Canis lupus familiaris: one gene and its partners. Each later gene encodes a partner of the first gene's protein in a complex. Links are inferred from orthologs where the notes say so. Each region holds a gene or a part of one and is shown on either strand. Other genes may lie near its edges.

Evidence for each region.
Region 2: DR1 (region 1) and KAT14 share a complex: the UniProt entries of both Homo sapiens proteins name them as parts of the ADA2A-containing complex. The link is inferred for Canis lupus familiaris from reciprocal best matches to the Homo sapiens genes DR1 and KAT14.
Region 3: DR1 (region 1) and YEATS2 share a complex: the UniProt entries of both Homo sapiens proteins name them as parts of the ADA2A-containing complex. The link is inferred for Canis lupus familiaris from reciprocal best matches to the Homo sapiens genes DR1 and YEATS2.
Region 4: DR1 (region 1) and MBIP share a complex: the UniProt entries of both Homo sapiens proteins name them as parts of the ADA2A-containing complex. The link is inferred for Canis lupus familiaris from reciprocal best matches to the Homo sapiens genes DR1 and MBIP.
Region 5: DR1 (region 1) and TADA2A share a complex: the UniProt entries of both Homo sapiens proteins name them as parts of the ADA2A-containing complex. The link is inferred for Canis lupus familiaris from reciprocal best matches to the Homo sapiens genes DR1 and TADA2A.

What each region holds. Positions count from the first base shown.
Region 1 is NC_049227.1:56,184,015-56,189,893, forward strand, and holds part of DR1 (protein Dr1), read right to left. Parts: intron 2,501-5,879; coding exon 2,354-2,500; 3' UTR 2,345-2,353; exon of another isoform or gene 123-2,344; intron 1-122. UniProt on the Homo sapiens protein: The association of the DR1/DRAP1 heterodimer with TBP results in a functional repression of both activated and basal transcription of class II genes.
Region 2 is NC_049245.1:5,355,077-5,361,413, forward strand, and holds the start of KAT14 (cysteine-rich protein 2-binding protein), read right to left. Parts: upstream 4,089-6,337; 5' UTR 4,068-4,088; coding exon 3,809-4,067; intron 1,863-3,808; coding exon 1,744-1,862; intron 1-1,743. Other genes in the region: protein PET117 homolog, mitochondrial, read right to left, coding at 4,372-4,521. UniProt on the Homo sapiens protein: Component of the ATAC complex, a complex with histone acetyltransferase activity on histones H3 and H4. May function as a scaffold for the ATAC complex to promote ATAC complex stability. Has also weak histone acetyltransferase activity toward histone H4.
Region 3 is NC_049255.1:16,912,183-16,918,061, reverse strand, and holds part of YEATS2 (YEATS domain-containing protein 2), read right to left. Parts: coding exon 5,729-5,879; intron 3,201-5,728; coding exon 3,039-3,200; intron 1,630-3,038; coding exon 1,457-1,629; intron 688-1,456; coding exon 529-687; intron 1-528. UniProt on the Homo sapiens protein: Chromatin reader component of the ATAC complex, a complex with histone acetyltransferase activity on histones H3 and H4. YEATS2 specifically recognizes and binds histone H3 crotonylated at 'Lys-27' (H3K27cr).
Region 4 is NC_049229.1:15,069,336-15,076,010, forward strand, and holds the start of MBIP (MAP3K12-binding inhibitory protein 1), read right to left. Parts: upstream 3,752-6,675; 5' UTR 3,689-3,751; coding exon 3,560-3,688; intron 1-3,559. UniProt on the Homo sapiens protein: Inhibits the MAP3K12 activity to induce the activation of the JNK/SAPK pathway. Component of the ATAC complex, a complex with histone acetyltransferase activity on histones H3 and H4.
Region 5 is NC_049230.1:37,201,739-37,207,617, reverse strand, and holds part of TADA2A (transcriptional adapter 2-alpha), read right to left. Parts: intron 5,398-5,879; coding exon 5,265-5,397; intron 4,306-5,264; coding exon 4,262-4,305; intron 2,214-4,261; coding exon 2,140-2,213; intron 816-2,139; coding exon 630-815; 3' UTR 1-629. UniProt on the Homo sapiens protein: Component of the ATAC complex, a complex with histone acetyltransferase activity on histones H3 and H4. Required for the function of some acidic activation domains, which activate transcription from a distant site. Binds double-stranded DNA.

The DNA of each region.
Region 1 (5,879 bases):
CTCACTTATATATTTTTCTATATGTATGGTATATGTTTTAAATGTTGGTAACGTTTCAACATTTATCAATGTGATAGTCTACTGAAAAACATAGATATATATCCAAGGAAATGGGGAAAATATTTACTAAACAATAACTTTATTTAAGAATCCTAAAGATTTGTTTCTCTCCCCACAAGATTTAAAAAATCTCAACAGACAGTATAGTGACTTTTAAAAGCTAAAAAATAAGCTAAAAGTAAAACCCTGCTTAATTAGCTTTGTTATGCCTATGTCCTAAGACTGTAAATTACAAAAGTACAAGTAAAACCACATTTTTTGAAATAACAATAAACAAAGGAGAAAGTCAGGTACTACATACCAGATGATCAAAATGTGTTTTGGGCCAAAGATTCTTGAAACTAGTAAAAATCTTAATAGAAATCTCCTGCTGCTAATCTGTGTAGATTATTAAATGTAAATACAATTTATAAAACACATCAGAATTTTATTGCTTGAAGAATACAGCATATGAAATCACAAGAATGTCAAAATGAAAAGTCACTAGGCTTCAAACATATAATACATTATCAGATGCAGTAAAATATTAATTAACCTGAACTCTGCATCAGGAAAAAAAAACAGTGTGGAAAAATATCTAAGTTGTTTACTTAAGAAACAGATAAAATAGAAAGTATAAGGATGTTACAGTACAAATTAGAAAAGCCAACACTTATTATTTCTTAGACTAGACTACCTTTGGTACTTAAACTTTAAAAAAACAACCCCTTCTACCTTGTCCAAAGCACTTCATGGATATAGTATCAACTTCAACTTAAAATATCCAGCAAAATTAACCTTTTTCATGGCATGGGGAAAGTGTATTTAATAAACGTATGCTAATATTTTACTTTTTCTAAAACTGCAAAATAAGATTAAGAAGTCTAATACTTATAAACTTTACTTTTTTAGTTCTTCAATTAAAATTGGAATCCTGGCAGCCACAATTTATTCTTGGGCTTGGTGAATATACAAATTTAAATGGTTTGGCAACTGACATAGGAATTTAGACTACTTTATACTATCTTTAGTGGCTTTTCCATTCTGTTTCCAAAATACAAACAATATGTCATTTCTTCAACACATTGGATTCCTGTAAAAATCACTACCATACTTTATTTATTAGAACCAAAGTAAAGCTTCTCCCTTTTAATGAGTAGATTGAAACTATTTACGTTTCATATACGGCTGATCAGTTACGACACACTTTCTTAAAATAAAACCAATCATTTTTAAAGCTATCACTCAATTATGATGGAGACAATGATGCCATTTCAAAAGGAAGCACTGGACACTCTAGGCCATCTAGTCAAGAAAATGTAAAAGTAATGCTAAAAACAAACAATAAGTAAACTATAACTACAAGTTAAATTACAAAAAAATCCCTCTTTTACAGTAAGCATGCTTATTAACTTTCATTTCTTTCCCCCAGCAAAGGTCTGAATATTCATGAATCTCCTTTAAACCAATGGAACCTAAGCAATTGTTTCACAAGGTCCAATAAACATGGATGGACTGAGCAAGTAATACTATTAACAATTATTGGAGTGAAATAGTAAGAATCATGACAGTCCTCAAAATTGGGTAGTCTTTGAAATGTAATAGTGTAGCTCAAGATGAATTATGCCATAATAAAACTGTAGTTTTCACTTCTACATAAAACAAAAACAAAATCAAAAACATAACCCACTGAATTTATACAACTATTGAACATACTCCTTGCTAGTTTTTGAATGTTTTGAGATTTTTTTAAACAAGTATATTTATCTGAGCATATATATTTATTGCCTATATATATATATATATATATACCCATTTTAAAAGACAAAAAATTCAGATACTACAAAACTGAACTCTTTGTTTTTTCACCAACCTGATCTAACATCTACTGCATCACACAACACCCTCCCCCCAATAATTTAAAATTCCCAATTTTTAGTTTAGTTAAAAGGGCAGAGGAAATGCAAATGCAGATTTAGAGTTTCTGTATAAATTTTACTGTATTTTATAAACTTGACGTTTTCTGTAACACTGTTTATTGATCAAATAAAGGACTCACTGCTATCTAAAATTTCATAAACACCATTAAAAATTCAAAATTGATATTATACTGAACCTTAAATTTTCAATAGTTCAAAGAGACAGTTTTTACATGAATAGCACACAATAGATGAAACTTAACAGCAGACATCCCTAGAATACCAATGGCAAGTCCACCAAGATGCATACAAAATTACAGATAAGCATTTCTTTCACTGTTTTCTTGTGCAGGGAAAAACATTTATAGAGGAAATAGAAACTCAGCTGGTAAATTTCAGATATCATCATCATCTTCTTCATCTTGAGAAGATCCTGCCTGGTTAGATGCACTGGCTGTGGCAGCAGCAAGCTGTGCTTGTTGAGCAGCTTGCTGCATTTGAAGCCATTCCTGCTGGGCCAATTCTGCTTGCTGCTGTCTAGCCTAAACACCAAAAACATAAAAACAAAGTTTTTTTTTTTAAATTCACAACATACTCACTTTGGTTAAATATAGATTAAGCCAATTACATACTTAGTTATCAAATTTGGATATTTTCCAACCACTATATAACTGTTACACATCTGGAGAATATGAACTCTTTAAGAAAATATAGTTAGACCATTGCCTCTCTGTCAGCTGAGGACAGTTTCCAAAACTTGGTTCTCTTACAGGCAGTACCCTTTATGCCACATAATTTTATGACCTTTGGTTCAACTGAAGTTGAAAGAGCTGGCAGAAAGATTTTTGGTTCCTTTCCTGCTTCTCATTCCTTTTGTTTTGATTCTTTTGTCCTCTCAACTTAAAATTAACACGTAAACATTTTTCAATCTAAAAATTATTTCTGTGGTTTAAAAGTTGTCTAGTACAGTACCTCTAACTCTTAAGTACTAATAAATATGAATGCAATAGCTACCTTGATGTGTGAGTTTCTTTTTTTAAGATTTTACTTATTTATTTGTTTGTTTAAGAGAGAAAGCACACACACACTCAAGCAGGGGGGAAAAGCAGAGGGAGAGGGACAAGCAAATTCTGCCCCAGCACGGAGCCCAGTGCAGGGCTCTAACCCACAATCCTGAAATCATGACCTGAGCCAAAATCAAGAGCTGAATGCTTAACTGACTGAGCCACCCAGGTGCTCCGATAGTTTGAGTTTCTCTTACAGTTCCCTACCCTAAATACACATTTCTCCTCTGAACCCCTGCCCCATAAATACATACACGTGTGTACACACATATATACCCTTCCCATATACATACTAGAGAAAAGGCACTTATCCAGAACTGAATTTAAGTGAGATAGTTAAGATCCATTCCTCTGATATATCCTCTCCACAACCATCAGAGAATTTTAGAAACTGGGGCACCTAGCTGGGTCAGTCAGTAGAGCATGCAATTCTTGATCTCAGGGTCAAGAGTTCAAGCCTCACACTGGGCATAGAGCCTACTTTAAATAAACAAATAAATAAGGCTTTATATTTTAAAGCTTTATTCTTAATAAAATAAGGAATTTTAGAAACTAAGATACACATATAGGCATTACACACACTGTTGCAACAGCTAAAAGCTCTTTCCCAATTTAATTTTATCTATTAGCTTTAGAAAAATCACACCAACAGGGAACGAATGAATCTGTTCCTGAATAGATCATATTGGATTCTACCAAAACAATGCTGTTTCTCCTTCTCTGCCTTTTCTCAGAATTGTTACTTAAGCCTGGCTCGTACCCGCCAATTCCGAGTTACCATTTAAAACAGAAATTAGTCTTTCTTGATCCTTCTAGGTCATATTGTACACTCTATTTCATATGCCATAATTCTCTATGCATTCTCATATCTACCTACTTTATTCTTTAATTATCTGAGCATGTATCTTTTTTCTCCACTAGCCTTGAGAATAAAGACTATTTTCATACTCTTTGTTGCATTCCCAACACATAGGCTCTGGTATTTTCTGAATGAATGTTTTGTGGGAAATGGTAGTACTCAGCATAATTCTAACATTAAGATTTTGCCCTGTATATTCCTGATTTTTCTTAATAATCTGTCTTGAATTTATTATCCAAACATTTCTAGAGGAGAATTCTAATCAGACCATCATTATACTTTAAAAAAATCATCTGTTACCAATTAAGTCCAATTTCTCAGCTTAGAGTTCAAGGTCCTCCAAATTACTGCCTGCCCAAATCTATCTCCCAAATCAATTTTTGTAATATGTACCTGGTACTCCAAAAAAATCTAGAACATAAAATGTTGCCCATATACACCATACCCTCCCCATTTTCACTACCTTATGCTGATATTCATTCTATTTGAAATTTCCTATTTTTCACCTATCGAAATTCCACTCTTCCTTCAAATTAAACTGAAATACTGGGGGGAGGAGCAAGATGGCGGAAGAGTAGGGTCTCCAAATCACCTGTCTCCACCAAACTACCTAGAAAACCTTCAAATTATCCTGAAAATCTATGAATTCGGCCTGAGATTTAAAGAGAGACCAGCTGGAATGCTACAGTGAGAAGAATTCGCGCTTCTATCAAGGTAGGAAGACGGGGAAAAAGAAATAAAGGAACAAAGGCCTCCAAGGGGGAGGGGCCCCGCGAGGAGCCGGGCTGAGGCCGGGGCGAGTGTCCCCAGGACAGGAGAGCCCCGTCCCGGAGGAGCAGGAGCTGCACCGACCTTCCCGGGGGAAAGGGGCTCGCGGGGAGTTGGAGCAGGACCCAGGAGGGCGGGGATGCCCTCGGGCTCCCGGGGACAGTAACAGCAACTGCGCGCCCAGGAGAGTGCGCCGAGCTCCCTAAGGGCTGCAGCGCGCACGGCGGGACCCGGCGGGACCCGGAGCAGCTCGGAGGGGCTCGGGCGGCGGCTCCGCGGAGGGGGCTGCGCGGCCCCGGGAGCAGCTCGGAGGGGCTCGGGCAGAGGAAGAGGCTCCGTGCGGAGGGGCCTGCGCGGTTCCAGGAGCAGCTCGGAGGGGCTCGGGCGGCGGCTCCGCGGAGGGGGCTGCGCGGCCCGGGAGCGCGAATCCACCAGCGCAGGCTCCGAAGCACAGGGCGCCGGGACACAGCCCAGGATCCCGCCTCCCCCGGGACAGGCAGAGGCCGGGAGGGCCCAGGACAGCAAGGACGCTCCTGCCCCAGCTGAGCAGATCAGCGGCCCCGCCCCGGAGCCTCCAGGCCCTGCAGACGGAGTTCCTGCCGGAGCTGAATCCAGGTTTCCAGAGCTGCCCCGCCACTGGGGCTGTTCCTCCTGCGGCCTCACGGGGTAAACAACCCCCACCGAGCCCTGCACCAGGCAGGGGCACAGCAGCTCCCCCAACTGCTAACACCTGAAAATCAGCACAACAGGCCCCTCCCCCAGAAGATCAGCTAGACGGACAACTTCCAGGAGAAGCCAAGGGACTTAAAGTACGCAGAATCAGAAGATACTCCCCGGTGGTTCTTTTTTTGTTTGTTTGTTTTTGTTTTTGTTTTTGTTTTTGTTTTGTTTTGCTTTTTGATTTGTTTCCTTCCCCACCCCCTTTTTTTTTTCTCCTTTCTTTTTCTTTCTCTTTTTCTTCTTTTTTTTTTTCGTTTTTTTTTCTTTTTCTTCCCTTTTTTTTTCTCTTTCTCTTTTCTTTCCTTCTTTCTCTCCTCTCTTTTTCTCTTTTTCCCAATACAACTTGCTTTTGGCCACTCTGCACTGAGCAAAATGACTAGAAGGAAAACCTCACCTCAAAAGAAAGAATCAGAAACAGTCCTCTCTCCCACAGAGTTACAAAATCTGGATTACAATTCAATGTCAGAAAGCCAATTCAGAAGCACTATTATACAGCTACTGGTGGCTCTA
Region 2 (6,337 bases), on another chromosome or scaffold:
GTTGGCCTAATTAAATATACAAACTAAACCAACATTACATCTTCTGAACAATATAACCAAAAGCCAGTTGTCCTTTTCAAAAGAACTTCCACAGACAGAAAACTCATATTCTTGCAAGTGAACTATACATATTTGCTATTTTTCCATTTTACAGCTTTTTGAGAAGCTACTTGCAGATCAAAAGCAAATGGGCCATGGGTATATGCCTCAGAATAATCTGTTAATATCAATCTGACCTTGCCTAGAAATATCCCATGTACATGATGGGAAAAACATCACATTTATAAAATTTGAGACTATATCCTCAGTACAAACTCCACTTGCATATTTTCAACTAAGTCAAAAAATCCTCCCTAAATTCACCCCTGACAGATTTCATTAGCACATCTCCCAGTGAAGCACTGATAATTGAGATAACAGTCAAAGCTGCTACAGCAACTGCAGTTTATAAGGAATATCTTAAGTGGCTAAGATCATTTCATCTAATCTCTCTTCCTCATTACCCTGTTTATTTCCTTCATGGCAAAAAAAAGTGCTATGGGTAATTAACGTGTTTGTCTGCTTATTGTCTAAAATAAATGCTTAGAAGGCCAGCTACCTAGCTGCTTCGCTCAGCACAGCAGTTTCCAGGCCTAAGCAGCACTGGGTTTGTTGTAGGCACTATTTGTTAAAGTGAATAAACATAAATACTGAGAAAGTAACATATAATTCGTTCATTTTTAGAACTTACTGTTGACATTGGTACCCTGTTATAGACATAGTAATTTAAGAAAAAAAAAAAAATTAAGGCAATCTGGGGATCACAAAAAAAGCTATCGTTCAGGCTATAGTTGGGTTGGATTAGGGTGCCGGTACTAGAGATGGTTAAAAGGTGGACAAAGGTATACCTCAAACAAAAAATATTCAAGGATATCAGAAAGGGAGACAGAACATGAGAGACTCCTAACTCTGGGAAACGAACTAGGGGTGGCGAAAGGGGAGGTGGGCAGGGGGTGGGGATGACTGGGTGACGGGCACTGAGGGGGGCACTTGATGGGATGAGCACTGGGTGTTATTCCATATGTAGGCAAATTGAACACCAATAAAAAATAAATTAAAAAAAATATATATATATATATTCAAGGGCAGCCTGGGTGGCTCAGCGGTTTAGTGCTGCCTTCAGCCCAGAGCATGATCCTGGAGACCCAAGATTCAGTCCCACGTCGGGCTCCCTGCATGAAGCCTGCTTCTCCCTCTGCCTGTGTCTCTGCCTCTCTCTCTGTCTCTCATGAATAAGTAAAATCTTAAAAAAAAAAAAAAAAAAAAAACAACACGCATGTCTGAGTTTAAATACAGAAAATCTGGATTTATGTCAGTTTCTGCAATTGAGCCATATTATACCTCCCAAAACTATTTCTAATGTGGCAATTTTATATTTTTTAAACGGTTTTATTGTTCTAAACATGGCTGCCAGAAACATATGGACCTCCTTTTCAATTCCAATATGAAATTCTGTGTCTGAGGTTTTCAAGAATCTCAAACCTAATTCACTAAGTTAGCATTGAGTATTTTTACAAAGAAGTCCTTTCTCCATGTATTTGAAGTGTCTAACTTCATTACACTGTCATTGTGAAATAAACAGCTCAACGACCCCAAAACAGCTCAAGAGCCTAGAAGTAAGCTCCTCATTCTCTGAATATTCATTCCACTAAATTCTTTGGGGGATCGAATTCATAAATTTGAGGGGAAAAGCTTTCTACTCACTTGCTGCCACGTGAGCTTCAGCCTTTCATACTGCTCCTTGCCATCTTCCGAGCAATCAGAACAAGTGAACCTAAAAAAATTATCACCCTTAAGGTAACTGAGCTGTTCCCTCAGCTGACCTAGGAGAAAAACAAAAAGGCACATCATAGGTTTATCTACAGCAGTATTTATCAGTTTATCAACCAGATTTTCCACACTTTCCACGTTTTTCTTCTTTTTCAGCCAACCCATGATAGCAGGATAAGAACAGGGAAGGCAGAAGAAAAGATTTTTATTTTTCTAACATAGTGTATGCCTGTTGAGATCGTGGTTCCCTAATTTTAAGGAGAAAGATACTGGAAAAGCAAGTTTTTATTGCTGTCATTGGATTTTCCAACTGTTAACATTCCTGACTCCCATGGATGTCTTTATACATTCTTTCAAGCAGTATCTGAGTTCCCACTGCATGGCAGGCACTGGTGCAGGAACTGGAATACGAAAGCCTGCTCTTGGCATTTTATAAATTCTAAGGGCCACAGATGAGAAAATAGGTCCTCAGAATAGCACAATGGTTCTCCATCCTCACTGTGCATCAGAATCACCCAGGGAGTGTTTTTTTGTTTTGTTTTGTTTTTAAGTGCCTGGGCCTATCCCACACAGAATGAATCAATCTCTGAAAGAGGAGTCTGAGTCTCTGAATTTTTTGTTCCCCAGGTGATGCTGATGCTCTGGGAGACAGGGTAACCTCTGGAACAGAATGTGGTGTGGGCTTAGGGAAACGAGAGGGCACACAGAAGGGAGACCCAAACCATGCTGGGAAGATGGTAGAGCTAGAAAAAGTGGGGTCTACAGGAAACCTGAAGGATGACTAGAATTGGCCAGGTGAAGAGGGGTGCCTGTGTGTATGGCAGGGAGGCCACAGGGGCTGGAGAGACACATATTCCAGAGAAGAAATTAAGAGATGCTAAGATCTTAGGATAAGAAAAGAGTTGTTTGTGGAGAATTAAAAGCTTACTCTAATACAAAGGTCTGGTTGTGTGGGGAAAGGACACCACACAGAGAAGCTGAAGAAGTTAGCAGGGAGACAACTGTGAAGGACAGTTTAAAATACATCCTTAGAGGACAAGGGGAATGTCACTGAGATCTTCAGGCAGGTGCATGAATCAATAATCAGAAACTGCTCAGAAACAAACACTAGCTAATGCATAGCAAGTTCTAGAAGGTTTCCTATGACAATGTTAATTTATTATTAGTAACTTAATCTGAATAGTTAAATTCATGTTAGACACATTTCCACGTACCAGAAAATTACCCCCTTCACATCAACATGTGTATACATGTGTGTATGTATATGTGTATGTATATGTACATACATATACATACATACACAGAAATTTCTCTGACCAGTTACAAACTCTATTACACAAAGAATTCTTCTGGTACATATGTCTTTACTAGTCTCTGCCTAATGGGAAAATCCTGTTTTGGTAAGACTCGTGATGGCTGGCAAAGCATGCTCCTTGAGAGCCAAGAAGCTGACAGATGCAAAGATTAAGCTGAAAGAGTGTGGTATCAGGGGAATGTGTGTGCATGTATCTCTTGCCAGCAGATCGAGGAGGCCGGCAAGTGGAAAACAAGAATGGTCCCAGAAAAAGAGCACAAAATACTTTTAATCAGCTAACTCTGATTTCAGCATTTAACAATAGTTTTCCATGGGAGTTAAATATTACCAGAGTAACTTGAACTTTAATTCTATACTGGGCCTATTATTTGGTCCCAAATCCATAACATGATCTTGTTAGAACAATGTGGCTAATTCTTTAAATAACGCAGAATTTCCAATTTTCTGATTTTTATTGGATTGCCATCAAAAATGTTAATTTAACATGAGGTTGATAGTAATTTTTATTAATACAAATGTTATCTACGTTTTATATAAATCTGTCATTAGCCAACTAAACTGATGATAAATATAATAATTATCTTTTTATTTAGGTCCATTTTACATTCATGTTTTGTTCACAGGTTAAAAAAACAAACCTTCACATAGTAATTGACAAATCAAAGGAATTAAGAAGCTCCTTACTGGCCGGTATCCATTTTTGGCACTTGTCACAGAAGTAGGACAGCTGCTCCTCCATCCACGACACATCTCCTTCATCACTGTTGAGGGAATCCCCACTCTGATCATGAGACAAGTCCACTGAAGCCTGGTCCTCCGATTCCACGATCAGGAGAGTCTCCCCCTCCACCTCCCCCTCCTCCAGCCCTTCTGAGGTAGATGTTCTGGTGGCTTCATCATCATGCCGGCTTATCAAACTACTCAGGTGGATGTTACTATCCATCCCTTCCTCTCACAGGTTCCAAGGTGCTTTTCACTAATAATCCTAAACTCTAGACACCAAGCTTACAAAGAGGCTTCTATCAGGATCACACAAACTGACAGAAATTCTTCAGAAGAGTGTCTGCCTGATTTACTGACTTTTAAAGCAATAATTTAGAATATATGATCCACTGTCCTTTTCTTTGGCCAAGCTTGAAAGGACTGTGACCAAAGCAAACTTGGAAGACCTCACTAAGCTATTCTCCATCCACAGTGGCACAACCACACTCAACACTGTCCCATTAATATGTGACATTCATTTCAAGTCATGTTTTTTGAGATCCTTTTGCCAATAACATCTTCTCTCTTTCTGCTTCAAGTTGCTCAGTCAAAATAATCTGTTCTCCCAAAAGACGAATGTTTTCTTTTTTCCGATTTTGTCTCTCAATGTCTCTGATCACTCCATCGTGAAGCCTCTAAAAACGTAAGAAACAGATTTTAGTAACACCCTAAACAGGTGGTTCCCATCCTTGTGCCATTCAATCGGAATAACAGTGCTACCAAAAACCACTAAAACTTTCAGACTCCAAATGCCCAATTACTATTTCAACTTTCTGTATAAATATAAAATGTAATAAACCATCAGATTAATTTGGTAGTGTGTTCCACCAGTAGAAATGATTTCTTACATTTTAAGAAATTCCTGAACTGGACATTCAGTATAGAATTTAATGGGAAATAACATTAATTTAAAAAGAAAAAAACTGCTCCTGTGTTGAACTTTAAAAGTTTAATTGGTATTCTAGGTTTTAAAAGACTTGGTGAGATTTACTATAGTAACTGTATGAACTACTTTCCTGTCATCAATTATTGTAGCTGAATAATAAAACATCAAAGAAAGAAAAAGAAAAGATTACAGAAACTTAAATAGGATACAAGAAAGGAAAGATCTTGGCTTCTTCTAGTGTGTAAAGAGAAGTAGTAAAAAATTATACAGAATTACTATCCAATTATATAACCGAGAGAGATGGAAAAAAATACAATGCTACTGGCAGAGGAAAAAATAAAGACCCATCAGTGATACTTTGATAAGCACTAAAGACTGGCAAAAAAATTCCAGAACATGGACCTAGCGCCTAAGGTGAGACTTTTCAAAGCAAAAATCCAGTCATTACTAATAACTACCATTTTATAGTCTTTTAGGTCACAAACTGATGTCTTTAACAGTGGCCTTGTGAGGTAGAATTAATGAGAGTGGGGTCCAGGGCCTGGGTTTTCGTTTTTTTGTTTTAAATTATTAGGTCTATTTAAAAAACTCACAGAATACCTACTTGCCAGACCTCCTTCAGACCTAGAGGTTCATTCATTATTACGGAGGAGTTGGGGAATTTAAGCGTGCTGGAACAGACAACACAACCAAAAATCAACTTTCTGGAACACCGCTCCTTGGCTAGATGTGCAAAGACATTTGCCTCCTCCCTCTCCAGTTCTTGGGTCCTGTGTTCCTTATACCATGACACACCCACCCACACACCCCACCCTGCCCCCCAAAGCGCAGGCCATCCGCTGGAATCATTCTTTCCATACCTGCCTCTGAGATCCTACCCTTCCTTTCTCAGACTCCAGCATATAGCTTAGGAACCTGCTTTCCTGCCACCATTTGCTATCTTCCTCCAAGTTTTAATATACGCTGATTGCCTGTGACTTCCCCTTAACGGCCTTACTAACCACCAAGAAGACCTCTTCACCATTACTCATGTACTACTCGTTTCACAGGGTTCCCGTAAGGATCAATGTCGGTGCCTGGTACGTAGTAGGCAGTCAAAAAAAATGAGAGAAAACTATGGTCATTATTTTATTTCTTGTTTCCTTGAACCTTCCAACACACCCACCATGTCAATCATCTGTTTTACTCCTTCCCAGGCAGGCTAGAGAGAAAGTCCACAGTGAATGAATGACCAGACGTAAAATAAACACAGGTTGTTCTGGTCAATCGTTTCTTCATCTGACTTCCAAATATCTTAATCTTTCTGTTCTTCCACTCTCTAGCATAGTGATACTCAACTCTGGCTGCATGTCAGAATTCTCTAGGTAGCTTTTAAAACATACCTAAGCCTCCCCCCCATTCCATCTCCAAGAGATTCTGATTTAAAAGATCTGGAGAAGGTTATGTTGTAAAAACTTCCCAGGAACATGAGATGCACAGCTAGTTCAGAACCAAGTTCTCACCCACGCTACCCACACTCTTTGAAAATTCCTGCCTTCTCTGACCTCAGCGCTACATTGGACACA
Region 3 (5,879 bases), on another chromosome or scaffold:
ACTAGTGGGGGAAGTAGAGTTACATGGGAATTTCCCACTGCCTGAGAGGTTGGCACCTCTAAACCCCACATTGTTCAAGGGCCAACTGTATATGGATATTGTAGCTATAATTATCTATTATACTATTCAGAATCTCTTATATGAAGTTTCTCCAGTGAAGTTTTAGAATGAAGTAGCAAGAAAATTTTGTTTTTTTAAGAAAGTATTATGTGTGTATTTCTTTTGCATCTCACAAATAGTGTGAATTTTGTAACTGATCATGCTTTTGATTTGCTTTGGCAAGTATTAGTAATTATAAAAGACATAACTGCGTATCTAATAACTCTGGCTTTATCTTCTCATTTCTAACTCATAGTTTTCTCAAATCTCAAGATTTTATTCTTATTTTTTTATACTATTTAATTGTTTATTTTCTCATCTTTAATCTCGCATCTTTAATTTCTTTGTGGAAAGAAAGAAGCTGTAAATGTTTAAATAAATGCCATAATATCCTATATTTGGGGTATGTGTGTGTGTTTGCCTATTTACCTGGGTAAACAAAGTGGTTTTCTGTCCAGAGATGACTTTTAACGTCTGTTGTCCTTGTGCAGAAGATGTGCTGACTCCCAGGGTTCCCTGGACCACTGATCCAGTAGTCAGCTGTTTTCCAGATGTCTGCGGTGATGGCTGACCAACTAAAAATGTACCCTAAGTTAGAAACAAAGATCTACTCAGTAATTTGTTAAGTGAAAATGACTTGCCCTGACCCTATAAATCACAAGGTCCCATGTTACAAGCTACGATGCTCACCTTCAATTCTGCAACTCAGCCAAAATAACTAAAAAGAACAGCTCTGCCCTCAGTTCCACTACCAACAGCTAGCTAGCCCCACTTCTGAAACTCTGCACAGTAGTTATGGAGCAGGCTGCTGGACAGTCAAGTTCTACAACCTAGTCTTTAAATCTGAATTATTCAGACTGGTAACTACCCATCCTTCTCATTAAGAACATCTAGACCAGAATTCCACGACCTTCCTTAAGAGAGGAGTCAAGATTTAAAAGCAACTAGGGGAAAGAAGGCAGAAACTTATTCTTAATCATGAATCCAATTCAACTCCAAATACCAAAACTTGATAGTATTCCTCTGGTTACTCCCTTGCAAGAGAAAATTTTCAACTGTCTCTTAATACTATTCATTAACTCATGGATTTGGGAGGCAACAGTGTAGCAAAAATTGAGTCAGAAAGCTATGAGTTTAAATCCAAATTCTAGCATTGGCTTAGCAGAGAGATCTCGTACTTAAGTCTTTCTGAACTTCTATCTCCTCTCAAAACAAGCTCAAAATAATAAAGATTCCATGTGGCTATAGTGTTAGTATTGACTCCCAATCCCAGAGATGTAAAAACAAATCCAGTATAATTAAAGGAAGTTGTTAATAACTAAAGGATTTGAAAGATACCAGTCACGAATGATCAGACCTGAGGAGTCTGCTTCAGGATGTAAGATGTGTAAGTCAGGTGCTGGGATATCCCTCCAGGGCCCGCGGGGCTCTGGGCTCCTCCACCACTGCCACCCGCACTGCTACCTCCACTGCCGCTGCTGCCTCCGCTGACGCCACCACCACTACCTGAAGCTGAGCCAGACTGGAGATCTGGAAACACAACGAGATGACAGCAACATCATAAAAAATAGTAAGAGACTTACCAGGAAAAAAAATGCACCCAGAGTGACAGATGACGTTTCCATCCCTTCCCTTTCCTAGTCCCCTTTTTTGGTAACATACCTATTCTGTGACAACAGTGAGGAGACTGTTCTAGAATTAAGGACTGAAACTGATTTTTACTTTCAACTGAAGGACAAATGATGAGTTCAGCTTTCAGTACAAGAAGAACTTCACTTTAACAAGAGTTCTGACTTCGTTGTGGGAGATCAACAGTCTGATACTGACATTTTCTAACCAAGTGTTGACTAAAATATGCTCAGAGAAGGGCTTCTAAACATTCTGGCATCTCATTCGATTTCAGTGAAACTGATAAAATTAAGTGTAGTTTTACAGAACTCTCTTTTCTGTCTCCCTCTGCCCTGGAAAAAAAACATTTTTCCTCATATTTATAATGACTTCAGTGCCCCATTCCCCCCCCCCCTTTTTATATTCCATCTTAAAGCCTTTGGATCCCCTTTACTTCTCTTTTGGTGACATAATGTATATAAACTAAGACTGAGGTGGCTCTCTGGGTAAATAATGGAATCCTTACATTGTCCTTTTCTTACATATCTTTTATATATCAATACTTAGGTATGAGGGAAAAAATGCCAGGATGAGCAAACAGTCAGGAAACAAAATGGTGACTAGCTCATACACTAGATTTTGGCAAGGGCAGCTCATTTCTAGTGAACCTAACTGTTCTATCAATTATACTTATGATTCAGAGGGAAATAATTCCTTTTACCCTTTCCTTTCCAGCACTATCCAAATTGCTTTTCTCTATGTCAAAGCCAAAGTTTCTAAGTCTAGATAATTTCTAGATTAAGTCTAACCTAATTTCTTTGGGGTTTTAAGGCTTAACACTAAGGTTGACTCTATATTTCTCGTTCCATCTCCAAAACTGACAAACTTAAATAACAGCAGGCAGAGAACATTTGATTCCACTCCTACTCCTATGCCCTCCAAAATGCACATAGGCCTCCAGCTACTATCTCCCCAGGTATCACCGGTTTCTAGATACCACTGAAAAGAAGAACTTTTTTTGTTTATAGTTCACACGAACAGTTTTCTCCCCACACTGTCTTAATAGTCATCTCTCTCCAGTGTGATTTGTTCCTGACCCCAAACTCTGAGTAGATAAACCCAAAATAGCAGTGTCATCGCCTAGAACTATGATTATTTAAACCCACTTATAGTTATGTGTATGTTTTAAATCCAGGTGGGCAAATACTACCATCATACCACCACAAAGAGCTACAGAAACACTTCCTGAAACAGGTAAGAGCTGCCCCTCGGGTGGATGAGATGAACATACCCAGAGACCCAAGAACCAAATGATTTAATGACGGACTGACTAGCATTGTTGGTAGCTCGCAGGATGGCTCCTTGAGGAATCAGCAGCAGTTTCCCTTTTCCTGAAGGGTTCTTGCTGTTCGTTGTAAGGTAGAGTTTAGTGCCAGGCGGCAAATTTGCCAAGTTGGCCAAATTAGTGGCTGGTAGCTGCAATGTTGCCATTACTAAAATGGTACAGGAAAAAAAGAAAAAAAAAGTAAAGGGAAAAAGTAGAACTGAGGACAATGCTATCACTAAAAATTAAAAACAGAGCAATAAATTCTTATTAAAAAACACAAACAGTAAACTCTACAGTTTGTTTTCCTAGATATGTAATACTTCAAAGGCTAATATCTTGCTAATCAAAAACTAATTTACATATTAGAAGAGCTTGCCATAAATTACAAAGGGGAATTTATATTTGTACATAAATAGGATGACCATATGTCCCAATTTGCCCAGAACAGTTCCAGTTTATACCTGGGTCTGATTTTTATACTTATGTCCCAATCATTATTAACCGTGACTCTTTTTACTCTCAAAAGTCCTATGGTTTAGACAATCAAAGAAATAATAACCTTATTTTTGGATGAATATATATTTCTTTCCAAAACCCGTTTAAAGCCCTTTTTATCAATTTCTAGTAATGAATGAAACTACAGATTTGAAACAAGACTTCTAACCTCTTTCACTTTTTAAGAACTAAAAAAAAAAAAGAAATGACAACAACAAAAAAGCCAGTCAACAACTAGCACATATAGTATGAAACCAGAATTTACCTTTTGAAAGTCTCACCTATGTCAAAGAGCTTTCACTTATCCCCTAGGATTTACTTCTCAATGCACAAGGCTATAAACCTCTAAATGTGACTCTTCAGTGAAGACTTACACATCAAAATTTCTGCAATTACCCTGAATTCAAATCTCCCTATAATGAAGCCCATAGAACCGAGTGAGTCACCACAGGCACAGGGCTCTCAGAGCCTCCTCTAGCCTGAGCTAGTCTTCTTCTTCATTACTACTCCACTGAGCAAGCCCAGGGAAGCAAGACCCCAGGAAGCTACCCCCCAACAGCAGGGGCTGATATGAAGACTGGAGTACCAGCCCTCTCCACTGCTGCTAGAACTCACCCCACCTTATATCACTGTGCAGCTCAGCAAGCCTCTCTGCTCAGTCACCCGCACCCAGAGTCCAGCCTCACACTGCCCTGCATTCCTCATCTGAACCCATCTCCTCAGCCCATCCTCCTCCCCTGGCTCTCTCATCTTACCCCCAGGAATTCCTGCTGTGATAATGACACCCACTAGAACCCTGACCTCTCTGAAGTCTTTCTTTTTGTGGTATTAAACACTGAGTCCTCTGAAGATACAGGACTTCCCCAGTAGCACCCTTAGCTAAAAGCTATTTTTTGAATCTTACTTAGTGTCTGATGGCCAGGACAAGGAGAGGAGTCTTTGTGCTCTACCATTTGGCTTTCAGACCGTTATTACCCCTCATTCCAGAAGAAAAACCTACTGGCTCCTGCTTGGCTCTACCACCTTAACCCTCTTTTCTGTGCTCATTTACTGAACTCCCAATCACTTCCCCTCACTTGCTGAAGACTGACTCCTGACTCAGTCTTGCTCTAAAGCCAATGATTGTCATCCTCAGTGATAGCACTATCAGTGACTTAATTATCTAGCTTCTCAGGCACCTCATTTTCTAAACTCCAAAGATCACTTCCTCCAACATTGCAAACACTCATTTTTAATGGCACAAATGGACTCTGCCATCACCAACAACTCACCACCTCTGAAATCTTTATTTTGGACATCCACTTCCTTCTTTTCCCTTTTTCTTCTAAATCTTTTTTTTTATTAATTTTTTTATTTATTTATGATAGTCGGGGGGGGGGGGGGGGGCAGGCAGAGACCCAGGCAGAGGGAGAAGCAGGCTCCATGCACCGGGAGCCCGACATGGGATTCGATCCCGGGTCTCCAGGACCGCGCCCTGGGCCAAAGGCAGGCGCCAAACCGCTGCACCACCCAGGGATCCCTTCTTCTAAATCTTTTTAATGTTTTATATAAAGTTGATTCTGGTTATTCTTTCAATTTATTATTTAGATTTTATGTTTTCTTTTTTAATTTTTTAACTCAAGTATAATTAACACAGTGTGAGTAGCAGGTGTACAATATGATTCAGACATCCGCTACCCTCATCCTTCTAATTCACTGCAATAATTCTTTAGCCTCATCGAGACCTTCAAAACTTAGTGCATCTAATGTCTTAGGTATATTTTTTCATGCTCTCATAAAAACAACATATCAAGGCTTCAAACACATCCAAGGTGTTTAAACTTGTTTGGTAGAGAAAGCATTAGTTCAGTATCTCAAAATGCTGCTGACAAATGACCATCCCAAGATTTTAAGTCTGAATACAATCCAAAGTGGAGATAAGATCAAATGAAAATTATCTTTCAGACCTGAAACCACTATCAAGAAATACGCTCTATTTTTATTACTCTTGCTAAAACACACACATGCTCCCTTAAAGTAAACCGCTTTACAGACTTCTATGTAAAATGCTACCTGAAAAAAATTAACATGTTTTTATATACTCGTTATGCATCAACCTAATAGGTTTTCTTAGAACCAAATACCAAATAAAACTACTAGCAAAGAACAGTTTATATATAAAGGCCTGCTGCTGAAAGGGACCCAATCAGTATCAGTTACCTGAACCCTGGGATCCACTCTTCTGAGGGCCAGCAGCAGTGACCTGAGCCTTGGTTAAGGCTTGCACTGGCTGAGCAACAATGGTTCCTCCACCTCCACTCACAATTGCTTTGGCAACTCCTTGGGTCACAACTTGCTTTGGACCAACTGC
Region 4 (6,675 bases), on another chromosome or scaffold:
TTCTTTAGGGTAACATGACTATCTAGCTCAAAGTTATCAGATTTTTAACAATACATTAAAATGCTTGTTATGCACCTCGTTACCATTTTAAAAGGCCATGAAAGGTGCAATTTTCATAGAAAAAACACAATGGTATCTCATTCTAATTCTATTCTTGGGTCTGTGTAATGGGACCATCTTACAGGTGAAACACCATCCACAAAAGATGGAAACATGAGGCTTTTTTGATACTTCATTATCTAAAACCTTTGGATGAGGGCCAAAATAGGCTTGCCCTATTCAGTACTTCCAGCTCAGAGCATTAAACAGAAGGGGCAGACACATTTATGAAAGTTCTCATACAAATATTTCTTTTTGTTAAATATGTACACAGACATAACTGACATATATCATTACCCTGATGTTTTCTGAATCATATTTTTATCATTTTCATCTTTAACCAATTTTAAAATAATCTAAAAATCAAGATTATTCATACAGATTATAAAGCCTAGGGATAAATGGCAACATGTTTATCTACTTCAAATAAAAAACTATTATCTAGCTGTGGAAATCTGAATGTAAAAAAGAAATACTCCTCCACAATAGTGAAATAAATGGTCAGAGACTGAATGGAATGGCTAGATCTTTTGCTAACTAGTATTTTCTAATACTGTGTGAGGGGGCTTGTCATATAAAACTTATAAGTTGGCTATGTATGACCTATTAGAATAAAATTATAAACAGAAAACTATCAAGAACCTGAATATAAAATTATCATCAAAATCAATGAAAATTTTAGAGTGAAAGCCTCAATCTCTAGGCTTTCAAGTGAATACAAATGAACCTCATAAACTTTTCTAGAGACATGTGTTTATAGCATACTATAAAGCTATGATGCATGGTAGAATTAAGTTTATTTTTTTTTCAGAAATCATTTATTAAGTCATGTTTTCCACAAAATAAAGGCAAGTATTACATTAGTTCAAATACTGATGTTATGAGTTGTGATTCTAATAAAACAAAAAGATGAATCACTGTACAAAGAACCAGAAATCCAAAGTTACCCAAAAAAGGCAGTATACTTAATGAATACTGTATGACAAAAATTTACCACCTTTTCCATGAGACAAGAAACATTTAAAGTCTGTATCAGACAACTATAAAGAAATAAGAAATTTTGGATAGGCTACACTGGCAGAGATTAGATTATATTAACTAAAGTTTTACATTAAGATTACTGCATTAATCTTAGTTTATATTATTTAATTACTGTACTTCTACAGTCCTCTAAGAGATCTACAGTTCCTAACAAATTTATAAATAGAGTTTTGGGATAACACAGACAAATCCTCAACTAAAGTAAAGCATCAAATTTCCTAAAGAAAATAAACAAATAAAATAAATCTTAATGTTGGGATCATATTCTCCTTTCAATTCAGCATAATTATGTAAGCCTTTCAAGCACAATTAAAGACACTTGGTTTTTTTAAAGAAAACTACATAATGATACAAATTAACTTTAAAATTATCATAATATATCCAACTATTTATTCAACAAATTCCCTATTAGTAATACGAATTCGATGCATTTTTACCCTTTATAACTTGTAAACGTAAAGCATTCACTCAAAAATGTATTGGTGTGACATTAATATGGACTATTTAAGTAAGCATTTTCCATAAAAAATTAGTATGAAACTCCAAGCTAACAATAAATAATGCTTCAACTTGGTAGAATGAGCCATGCTGTGGCAAGCAATAAGGTTAAAATAAGTAAATTTGAAATCTGGGATACTTTTTAACATTCAATTTTATGTTTCCTATTGAGGAGAGCCAACAATATAATGATACTATGCAGAATGAAACTAGGCATATTGAAACTTACTTTTTTTTTTTTTGAAACTTACATTAAAAAAAATATCCTATAAACTTGTTGCAAAAGTACATAGTGATTTCCTCCAGGGGCAATTTTATAATATTGTGGCTTTCATTCTTCCCTTTAAACAATACATCTCAAAATATAAAGACTAATATCAAAATAGTATTTAATTGATGAGACAATGATTTAATTTTTTGACACCTGTATAGATGGTCCCTTCAATGTGTCATGTAAACTTTCCAAATATGTACTCTCAACATTTTTGACAGGTGACATAAGTAAACTTTAATCACAAAATACGCGAATGTTTAAAATCTGTAAATGAGTTTTAAAAATTCAGTATGCAAAAATATTTCAAAAGAAATGTTTAAATTATTTCTTAATGTTACTTTAAAAAATTTATCACCACTGAAAATAAAACTGTAAATTACAGGTAAGCATAAACTTTTTTCATCGTGACATTAAAATATAAATAAACCTTAAAATTCCAATATCCAAGACAGAAAACGTTCTCAGACTTTTAACCATTACAGGTCTTGGGTGATAAGACTAAAATGTTAATGTCCCCAAGTCTTTAAAAAATTTTAATAAGTTGGCGGCAAACAACTGAGCTCAACAGTTACAACTTTTAGCAGATTCTGTTAATAATTGTTCCGTTAGACCAAATTAAATGTTTAACTTAGAGTAATGCTTTTTCTAAGGACAAACATATTAGGATTTTTAAAAATACTGAAATAACCTTTTAAAAAATTAATTCTCCATCCACTCACGGCTTTTAAAAATAACTTTTTACAAACTAGACAGGTGTTGTTTTCATAAACATTATCCTCGACATAAATGTTTGCTGTGCCTACTACATGCACTAATACCAACCCCATAACAAACTTTTAGAGTAAAAAAATATTCCGTCTAAGATACAAAAGATTTCCTTTTTAAAAGCAAACAAACTTATTTTCAAGTTGTTTATCATTTGTAATATGCTTTGCATTTTATTTCATGAAACAGTTGACTTGATTGAATAGTGTAAGGAGTACTTTTATTTAAACCCAATTTATTATGACATTTCTGCAGAAGCTATTCATCAGTCAGTTAAATTAGCTAATAATTAAATGACAAACAGTTCTGATGCAAACTCTATCAATCATGGATAACTCATCGAATTTTATGCAAGAAGTATTTACATTAATTCCTTTCATTTTTCCTCCCCATATGAAAGGGTAAGAGATGCACATGTAACAACCAGAAGGAAAAAAAAAAAAAGAAAGAAAACCAAGTGACTCCTAAAAGCAAATCAACCCCCCCCCCCCCCCAAAAAAAAAGCGGAGAGAGCTTTGCCAAAACTCTCAGGCCGTTACTTCTATCAATTTCTATCACAAATTCACTGAAGGATAGGGGATGCTGAGCGCCAGGCACCCTCCAAACCCACAAAGCTTTTTACGCCTTCGCTCTCTCCAAGCATGTTCTTCTGGGAGCCAGGTTTTTCACTTACACTATCCTCTCACTCTTGGGGAGAATTGCCAGCCCGTACGGCCTTCCTCGCTCCGACCGCAGCTAGGCTCAGGCTCCTCCGCCGGCCTCAGTACTCAGTCCCGGTCCCCGGCAGCCCTAAGCAGCCCCCCGCCTCCGCTAGAGGAAAAAAGGGGGGAGGGGCCGGAGAGTTCCCAACCCCCTGCTCTGCTCCCACAGACCACCACTCACTTGTCCCACCAGGCTATGCAGTGAGCGAAAGATTTCGCGGAGCACCTCTTGGGAGAGATTGGGGCTGCAGCTCCGTTCCGGACTCCTGTCACCACTGCTCGAGAGGCTAAGCTCAACGGCAGCAGCCATGACACCTTCGCAGGCTACCCCCGCCACCACCGAGCTGTGCTCACAACACCCGCCCCCCTCGCCCGCCCGCTTGCGTCGCCGGTAAATGACGTAAAAACACAGCGTCTCGTCCGGCCCGGGCCTTCGAGGACCCTCGTGACTGACAAGCCGGTGCGCCAATCAGGTGCAGCTGGAGCGTCACGCCAAGGAGCCGGAGCGGGTAATTGCCGACCTGGCGGAGCTGCGTACGGAATTTGGGACGGTGATTGGGGCGGTGGTCTAGGGAACGTTAGCGTCTGAAGCCTGTCTTGTGTTTTTAGGTGTTGCTTATGAGTGTTGAAGAGGAGACTTAGACCTAAACGTCAGAATTTTAGAAGTTAAAATTTTAGCTTTTAACATGGCGCTGTGGAGTGGTCTGGACAAAGATTGCTGTTCGGGGGTGCAGCAGGGCCCACACCTCTACACCCTGGAAAACTCTTTCACGTACGCTTGTATTTAGAACATTTTCACTTCTGCAAAGTTTAAAAACTTACACAAATTAACGTGACTAATTTTTCATGTGAGGGAGCAGAGGCTATAAAAGAACAATAAAATGCTCTACTGTTCCTGCTGTACTATCAATGGAAGAAAGGACATTAATTACTTTAAATCTGCAAAATAATTATGTCAAGTTTTAAAACGTGCATCAGTTGCTATTCTCTGAGTGATACTGTAGAGACACTCACCTAAACCTTTCAAAGAAGTGAGACACTCAAAACGATTCTAACAGTTTAATTCAAATAAGTAATTGCATGCAGCACAATCTTTGAAATTAGAAAAAATAAATGCGAATTGAAATTTGACAGCGTATTACTCATCAGATAGATTTATTAAAAGATATTTGAAGTACTTTTATAGTCCAACATTTAAAAGCTTTATGTTCAATTGAAGAAAAGAACAAAGGTTAGAAGAATTTTAAATGTTAAGCTCTATTAAAAAACAAAACCCGTCAGTTCAGAGATTAGGGACAAGGTATTTAAAATTCTTAATTCTAATAGTCTAATGCATTTACAGTAGAGGAAGCAAAGGTAGAAACTTGCACAATATGTATTCTTCAGTTTTAGAGTAGGCTGAATGAAAAGGAGCAGAATAGGCATCAGAGAACTGGAATGGGGTCAGTAGGGATAAAAGAACGCCTTTGACCTGTCCCTAGGGAGCCTCTTAATTAGGCTTTCATTTCCAAAGATCACCAGGCTTGACAGGATCTTGAGAAATCTTGTCTGTTCCCTTGTTCACAGCAAGATATACAATTTATAATCCAGCCTATGTCTAGAAACATCCAGAAAAAGATTTCACAATATATAATCCCAAATTGAGCAGCCTTCTCATTCAAGGCACTCATCTCCATCTCTAATTTAAACTCATGATTCTTTGCAATGCTGTATATTTTCTTTGCCTCTGGTTCTCTTTTTAGAAGAGAATAATTATAACAGGGTAACTAGAAAAAAAATTTTATGTAACGAATTAGCAACCAGTTTCAGATCATTTGTTTTCATCTAGATGTGAAGGTTTTTTTTTTTTTTTTTTTTTTTTTTTTTTTTTTTTTTTACCAATATTCAGGACACTGTTAGGAAACGGTTGGGGACATGTTTTGTATATTATAAGAATACCCCATAGATGTTTGGGGTGCCTGAGTGGCACAGTCAGTTAAGTATCTGCCTTTGGCTCAAGTCATGATCCCAGGGATTGAGCCCCACATTTGGCTCTCTGCTTAGCAGGGGGCCTGCTTCCGCCCCCCCCCCCACCCCACCGCTTCTGCTGTGCACTCACTTGTGCACTCGCTTCCCCTCTCTCTGTCAAATAAGTGCATAAAATCTTTTTAAAAATACCATTTTTAATACAGTAGTTCTTGTTCCTGTCTGTGCCATCACTGATTTAGAAATTTCAAGTTTTACCTGTTCCCTTGAACCTCTATTATAGAATTGATGGTCATTTGATTTTATATAAGTTCTCTATGTAATTCTGTGTTTCAATATCCAGACCTACACTTACATCTTGGAATTGCTTACTGAGATAACATTTGGGGTTTAACTCTTTTATGCATTATTTCTACTTTCTAAGGACCTTTCTTACTCCTTTATGATGTTTATTACCTTCATTTTGGAAAATTTCTTATTTTTGTCAATTTATTTTAAGTAGAAGAGTTTGTAGGCTGAAAAGATGTGGATTTCCTTGGGCTAACTTTATTTTTTTTAAGATTTTATTTTTTATTCATGAGAGACAGAGAGAAAGAGAGAGGCAGAGAAACAGGCAGGGGGAGAAGCAGGCTCCATGCCGGGAGCCCAACGTGGGACTCCATCCTGGGTCTCCGGGATCATGCCCTGAGCCCAAGACACACACTCAACCACCGAGCCACCCAGGCATCCTCCTTGGGCTAACTTTAAATAGAAATATGTAGATAGTAATGTATAACAAAAATATGAAAGTTATGACATGTAGAAAAGGAATAAAGGAAATAATTTTCCCTTTATAGGAGACTAATTATAGTTTATAAAGTGGGTTTCTGAAAAATCTGCTGCCTAGCAGAAATGATTCAAAGTGTTAGTCTTAGCATTACCAGCAGAATTAGAAATACTGCCCTGCAAGTTTATGATAAGAATCAATTGAGAGGATAGAAAGTATAAATGAAATCTGGGCTATCTATCTTATCAACAAAAATGTCCTTTATAAAGAGCCTTAAAGGCACAAATCCACTAAATAATCCAGTGCACAGCAAAATGCCTGCAGTATTATATGTGCTCAACAGATGTTTGTTCAATGCATATAGTATAAATTTTAACTAATGTAGCAAAGGAGAAATAAATATTATTTATCTTCTCTGGCTCCCCATCACCTGTGGATAAGTGCAAGTTCCTTAGAATGGCATCTTAGGTTCTTCTCATGATCTGGCCTTTGCCTAAATTTTCAGCCTCATTTTCTGCTACAAACCATCTTGTGCTTAATGCTTCTGAAACTGCCTTTAGTTCTTC
Region 5 (5,879 bases), on another chromosome or scaffold:
CCGGTGCCACCTCCTCAAAAATCTACTGCAGATTCGACAGTCAGACTGCAAAGTACAAAGCCAGACATTAAAGGGAAAGACATAATTTGGGATGAGACCATCAGGGAGAGATTTTCCTCCCATTTGCTCATAAACGTAAGCTGTCAGTTTAAAAAAATCCCCAGAAGGAGAGAGAAAGCTTTCTCATGCTCTATAACCCTTTTCTTTATTTTAGATCTTTCCGTAACGTTTGAAGGCAAAACATATAATGAGAAAACCAGCCTCCCAAGTACAAAGATGTGAGCCGGACTCCCAGGACTAAAGATTGGTTCAAGTTCTATTTCTACCAACACTCTGATGTGAGGTACTATGGTTCTTGTTTTAGTTACAAGAGGTGTTGAGAATAAAGGCCCACTCACATTTAATAATAGCTTATCTAGCACATAACTGCTGCACAACACCAACAACAGAAGTGTTTTAAAGTGGGGTGGAGAAGAAAGTAGATGTTAATACAACTTAGGGTTCCCTTTGTCCTTCCTCTTTTTACAACAAGAATTCAGCTCAGAAATGAAATTCTCCAGAATGCCCATGCTGTTGTTTGGCCCAGCACATTCCAAACTTGTGATTTCTGATCCCAAGCCCTCAGAGCCTTAGGCTTTAGTGATGTATCCTTCTCGGATGAGGAAATCATAGATTTTCCGGGTTTTGTTCACATCTATCTTGATGAGTGCTCTCGCCTGTGCCAGTCTTAAGCCTCCTTGCTTGTTACATTCGTTCAACAGAGCAGATTTGTATTCTAAATAGGCTCCTGGGACCAACCTCACCATCTGACAGAGCTGCAAGACACGGCAAATTTAATAAACATTAACATCTGTCATTCTCATAATTTAATCCAGTAGGTATAGCCAAAATAAAATTTAAAAAGTGACATCAACCTCCAACTATTTATAGGAGCTGCTGGGTGGCTGGACCACATTCCATTTAGTCTCTTCCTTGGAGAGAATATTCCCTGACAACAGACACTTAGGAAGAGAAAACCAGAGTCTGATGCTGGGAGGGACTTTAGCACGTGTCAGCTGGCTCACCTGGGTTTGTCAAGGAGCACAAGTATGTGTCCTGAGCAGCAGCCTGGGTCCACAGAGCTCTCAGCCCAGCACATTCCAACATAGCCAGTCACGGAAGAGCCACAGGGCATAGTAGGGGCGGGGGTGCAGATACTCAGATTCCCAAGTGTGAATCACATTTTTTAGTATCAGCATAAAGTAGCTGTCACTGCTTTTGTGATTACATTTCCTACTTTGAAGGAGAAGGAGATACAGAGACCTCATGAAGAGGCTACTTCAGCTGCTAAAAATCTACAAAGCTGGCTCAATCCCAGTCCACCTGCCATGGCACCCCACAGCAATAAGCAGCGTGAGGTCACTGTTTGTGGGTAAGGATAAATACTGCTTGAAACTCTGGGCCACTTAATACTTGACTCAGAAAGGCCCGTGACCTTCATCAGCAATAGTAGTTCCCCAACTGTTTCCTGGGGGAATAGTAAATAAAAGACTAAAACAGCCCCTACTCCATGACTCCCCTTACTATCTGACCTACTAATGATATGGAGTGGCAGATGGGAAGATTGATCTTGGGAATCGTAAAAGGAGCACATGAAGAACAGAAGAGGGTTGCTCTTTTGGAATGGACTTCAGAGCTATGCACATTTTTTTTTTTTTTTAATGCTTGAGGATGACCCTTTTGAGGCAGCCAAAAGTAGTATGAAGATAAGTCTGATGATTTTAGTGGAAAAGAAAAGTAGGTCATGGCATTTTTAATCAACATTAGTATATGACTATATGTGATGATAAAGTCCTTTCTTCATGACTTACATGTATGCTATGGAGACAATTCTAAAAATCTTTTAAGTCATGGTTATATTGTTGGAATAATGTAGAGCTTATCAAAGTGACCATTCTAACAGGAAATGACCATTTTCATATATGAGATACTGTAGGTTTATAAATTTACAATTTCATTCACATGAAGCACTTAGTACTAAGTATCTGGTACATGGTAATGCTCAATAAATGATAGCTGCCATTATTTAGATTTATATATACTAATCATTCTAATCTCTCTCCTCTAGATCCCCGCCCCCCCCCCCCTTTTTTTTTTTACCTCCTTTTCTTTTTCATTCAGCTTCTCTGTGCCAGGAAGGCCAGTGAGGTTCAAGGGTGGTGCACTTCGTCTACCTACAGACACAGAAAAAGGTACGTATTTCATAGGAGTGACAATTGTGAAGTAACAGTCTACTGCAGCCAGGCTAGTTACATGGTCACCACGCCCAGCTGTAAGAAATCTCTACCCATCACCCCAGGCCTCAGTCCAGTTGGCAACATGGGGACCCCAATGTTCACCTGAAATTACTAGTGGTAATTCATGTGCCCTTTGCTCTGCTAAAATACACAATCACATATACCTTAGCAACCCAGTTGCTACTCTTTCCGACCCAGTAAGATTCTAAATTCTAAAGCCCAGATGTCACCTAGTGAAGAAAGGTCATATGCTACCAATCCTGACAGCTGATGAATGGAAATAACAAGTCCACAGGAGAGACACTTCCCAGCCCTCACCACTCTGCCAGGAGCAGGAGGCAAACACCGTAATTAACCACATACCATTTGCCTTCAGATCAAAGGCAGACTGTTAGGCCAGCAAAAGGCCCTTCTTATTTATTATGTGAGGGAATATCTGTTCCTTCCAAAGTAGCCTGTTTACCTGAAAGATCCACTCAGAGGAACAATGAGCCATTATATGGCAAACCAGAAGCTGAGGTGTACTCACATACTGAGAAAGAAACCTAAGCATGAGGTCACTGCCCAGGATGGGAAGTTTGATGCACAAAATTTTTTGCTTTGGTTTTGAATGTATATTTGGAGTTAGTGTTTAGTTGGGAGATAGGTGGGCTGAGTTAGGCAAAAGAAGATGTAGAATCATTTTTAACAAGTTTCATGGGGGTTGCCTTTCAGGGGGTGGAGAGAAATAGGGAGGGACTGTTACAGGCTGCTCTGCTAGAAAACAGCTTCTCTGTGGAATCAATAAAGGGATAAGGGCTTTTCCATAGCCAATAGGCCTGGCCTTCCTCTAAATGCTCAAAAAGGGAGACTAAAATCATTTGGTATCTCACCAAAGTTACCAGAGGCTAGGTTGTAACAAATGATCCAGGATTGCTACTTTGCACTGCCTGAGGAGTAGCTGAGAACAGGAGGAGAAGGAAGGGGTCTCCTCAACCTAAATACAGGGGATGAGAAAGGCTAACACCTGCTGAGGAAGCCACAAAGAATAAATGAGTAGAGATGGTTCAGAAAACACAAGTACCATTATTAGTTATCACTGTTACTATATTTGTTATTCTATTTCTGTATTTAGACTCGGGGTGCAGAGTTAGAAGTAAGTAACTCGTAAAATAAAGTTTGGATTTAGCTGTCCTGACCACTCTCTAAAAGACTTTTTCTCTTTTAAGTATTAAGAAATAACCACCTGAAACAAAGGAATCATTTTTAAAAAAAGAAGTAGCCTTCTCTGAGCCCTGTCTAGATGCTGAATCTGAGAGATTTTGAATGGGATCACAAAGTTTATTGTTTCAAGTTTCCAAAGAATGGTAAAACTGCAAGTGGGTCACCTTTTTCACTAGGCCAGTCTCTACAGGGGAGTGGTCTGTATGTTCTGATATGGGAAAGTGGCTAATCTAGCATATGGAGCAGGGATGAATAATAACTGGCAAAGAAACACAACAATTTTGGATCAGAGCTCTATAACTCACACCACCTCAAATTACCATTCATCGATTATCAAGCATCAAGGATTGCCAGATAACATATGACTTCAGCTGGCTCTGAAAACTAACTTCAAAATAAGGGCATACCCAAACAGGTAATAATAACAGAAATACCTCAAGTCTCTAACTTATAAAGAAATCCTTGTCTTTCTGCTTAGGATACAAAGGCTTTAATTTATCCTGTGAGACAAATCTCAAAATCTGTGGTAAATACAACCACAATAAACTGCTCATTGGTAAAAAAGAAAACACCTCTCTGGAGCTCTTTCTTCCCTGTCTCTGAACTCAAACCCTGATGATAATCCCTATCTGGCCATGATGATTCTGAAAACTTGCTGAGGTTTACATACTGGGATACACTTACTTACTTACCTGCTCTGCCTAAGCACTCTGCTCCCACAAGGGGAAGGAACTACTGAAAATGTGATAATCAAGACTTGCTCTAGCCTGAAAAATAATTACCTGAATTCGAAGCCATCGGAACAGAAGGGCTCAGGCCAGAATCACTAAAACAAAGAAGAGGAATTTAAAACTTATGTCACACCAAAGAAGGCCATTTCCAAAAGCCCATGTGGGACTGGGTGTCATTTATCCAGTTGGTTACTTTAAAGGGATGCAGAGATAGATGGCACTGTTTTATAGGATACCCCGCTATACTAACCAGGAAGTGTCATCTGTAATATGGCGTGTAAGAAATCACTTGGATTTGTTAAGAGCTCTTAATCTGGAACATCCATGGAGACTAAGGACAGGGACATGATTTGCCAATTGAAATAGTTCTAATAGATAATGGCGGGGAGAGAGGAAACATGGGGGAGGAGTTTACTAATTTTTTTTTTAAAGATTTTCTTTATTTATTTGAAAGAGAGAGAGAGCACAAGCAGCAAAGAAGAGCAGGGGGAGAGGAGAAGCAAACTCCCTGTTAAGCAGGGAGCCCAACCCAGGGCTCAATCCCAGGACCCAGAGATCATGATCTGAGCCAAAGGCAGATGGTCAACTTGAGGCACCCTGCAATTTACTAATTTTTTTTAAAATTTTTATTTATTTATGATAGTCACACACACACACAGAGAGAGAGAGAGAGAGAGAGGCAGAGACATAGGCAGAGGGAGAAGCAGGCTCCATGCACCAGGAGCCCGACATGGGATTCGATCCCGGGTCTCCAGGATTGCGCCCTGGGCCAAAGGCAGGCGCCAAACCGCTGCGCCACCCAGGGATCCCTCAATTTACTAATTTTTAAAAAGAGGATCAAAGTTAGCAAAGAAGGCCAGCTATGTTTCTCAAAACTGTCAGTACCACAGTGTTTCTGAGATAAGACTACTAAAATTAGAATTTGGAGTTTTTCTAGTTATCCAATCATTACTACTCTGCCATGTGGGTAGGGTACCCATGGAAATGTCTGAAACTACATGGAAAAGCCAAAGCATCTAAGAAGATGCTCATCCTCCCTGTACTAATTACTCACAGGTCAGCTTGCCGGCGGAGCCACTGCTGGCAAGCACTGCTGTCCTGGATGTACTGGAGAACTTCAGAGAGCATGGTGCGTTTAAGGCGCTCCTCCTCTCGAGTCTTCTTGAGGTGGTCATAGGTTCTGGCACCTGAGTGTAGATAACAGCATGACTGCCAATGACAACACAGCAGAGCTAACTGAAGGGCTTTCTAACTGACCAGCAATTCGCCTTTTTGGGGTTTCCTTTGTAAAACTGCTTCCCTGGCACCTGGGTGGCACAGTCAGGTAATCTTGGTTTTGGCTCAAGTTAAGATCACAGGGTCACAGGATTGAGCCCCATGTGGGACTCTGCACTCGATGGGGAGTCTGCTTGAGATTCTCTCTCTCTCCCTCGATTGCTCTCACTCTCTCTAAAATAAATCCTTAAAAAGATAAAACACAATGGAATTGGGATGCCTGGGTGGCTCATAGCCGTTGAGCACCTGCCTTCCGCCCAGGGATTGAGTCTCACATCGGGCTCCTTACATGAAGCCTGCTTCTCTCTCTGCCTATCTCTCTTTCTCTGTGGGTTTCTCATGAATAAATAAATAAAATCTTAAAAAAAAAAAAAAAAAAAAACCACACACAATG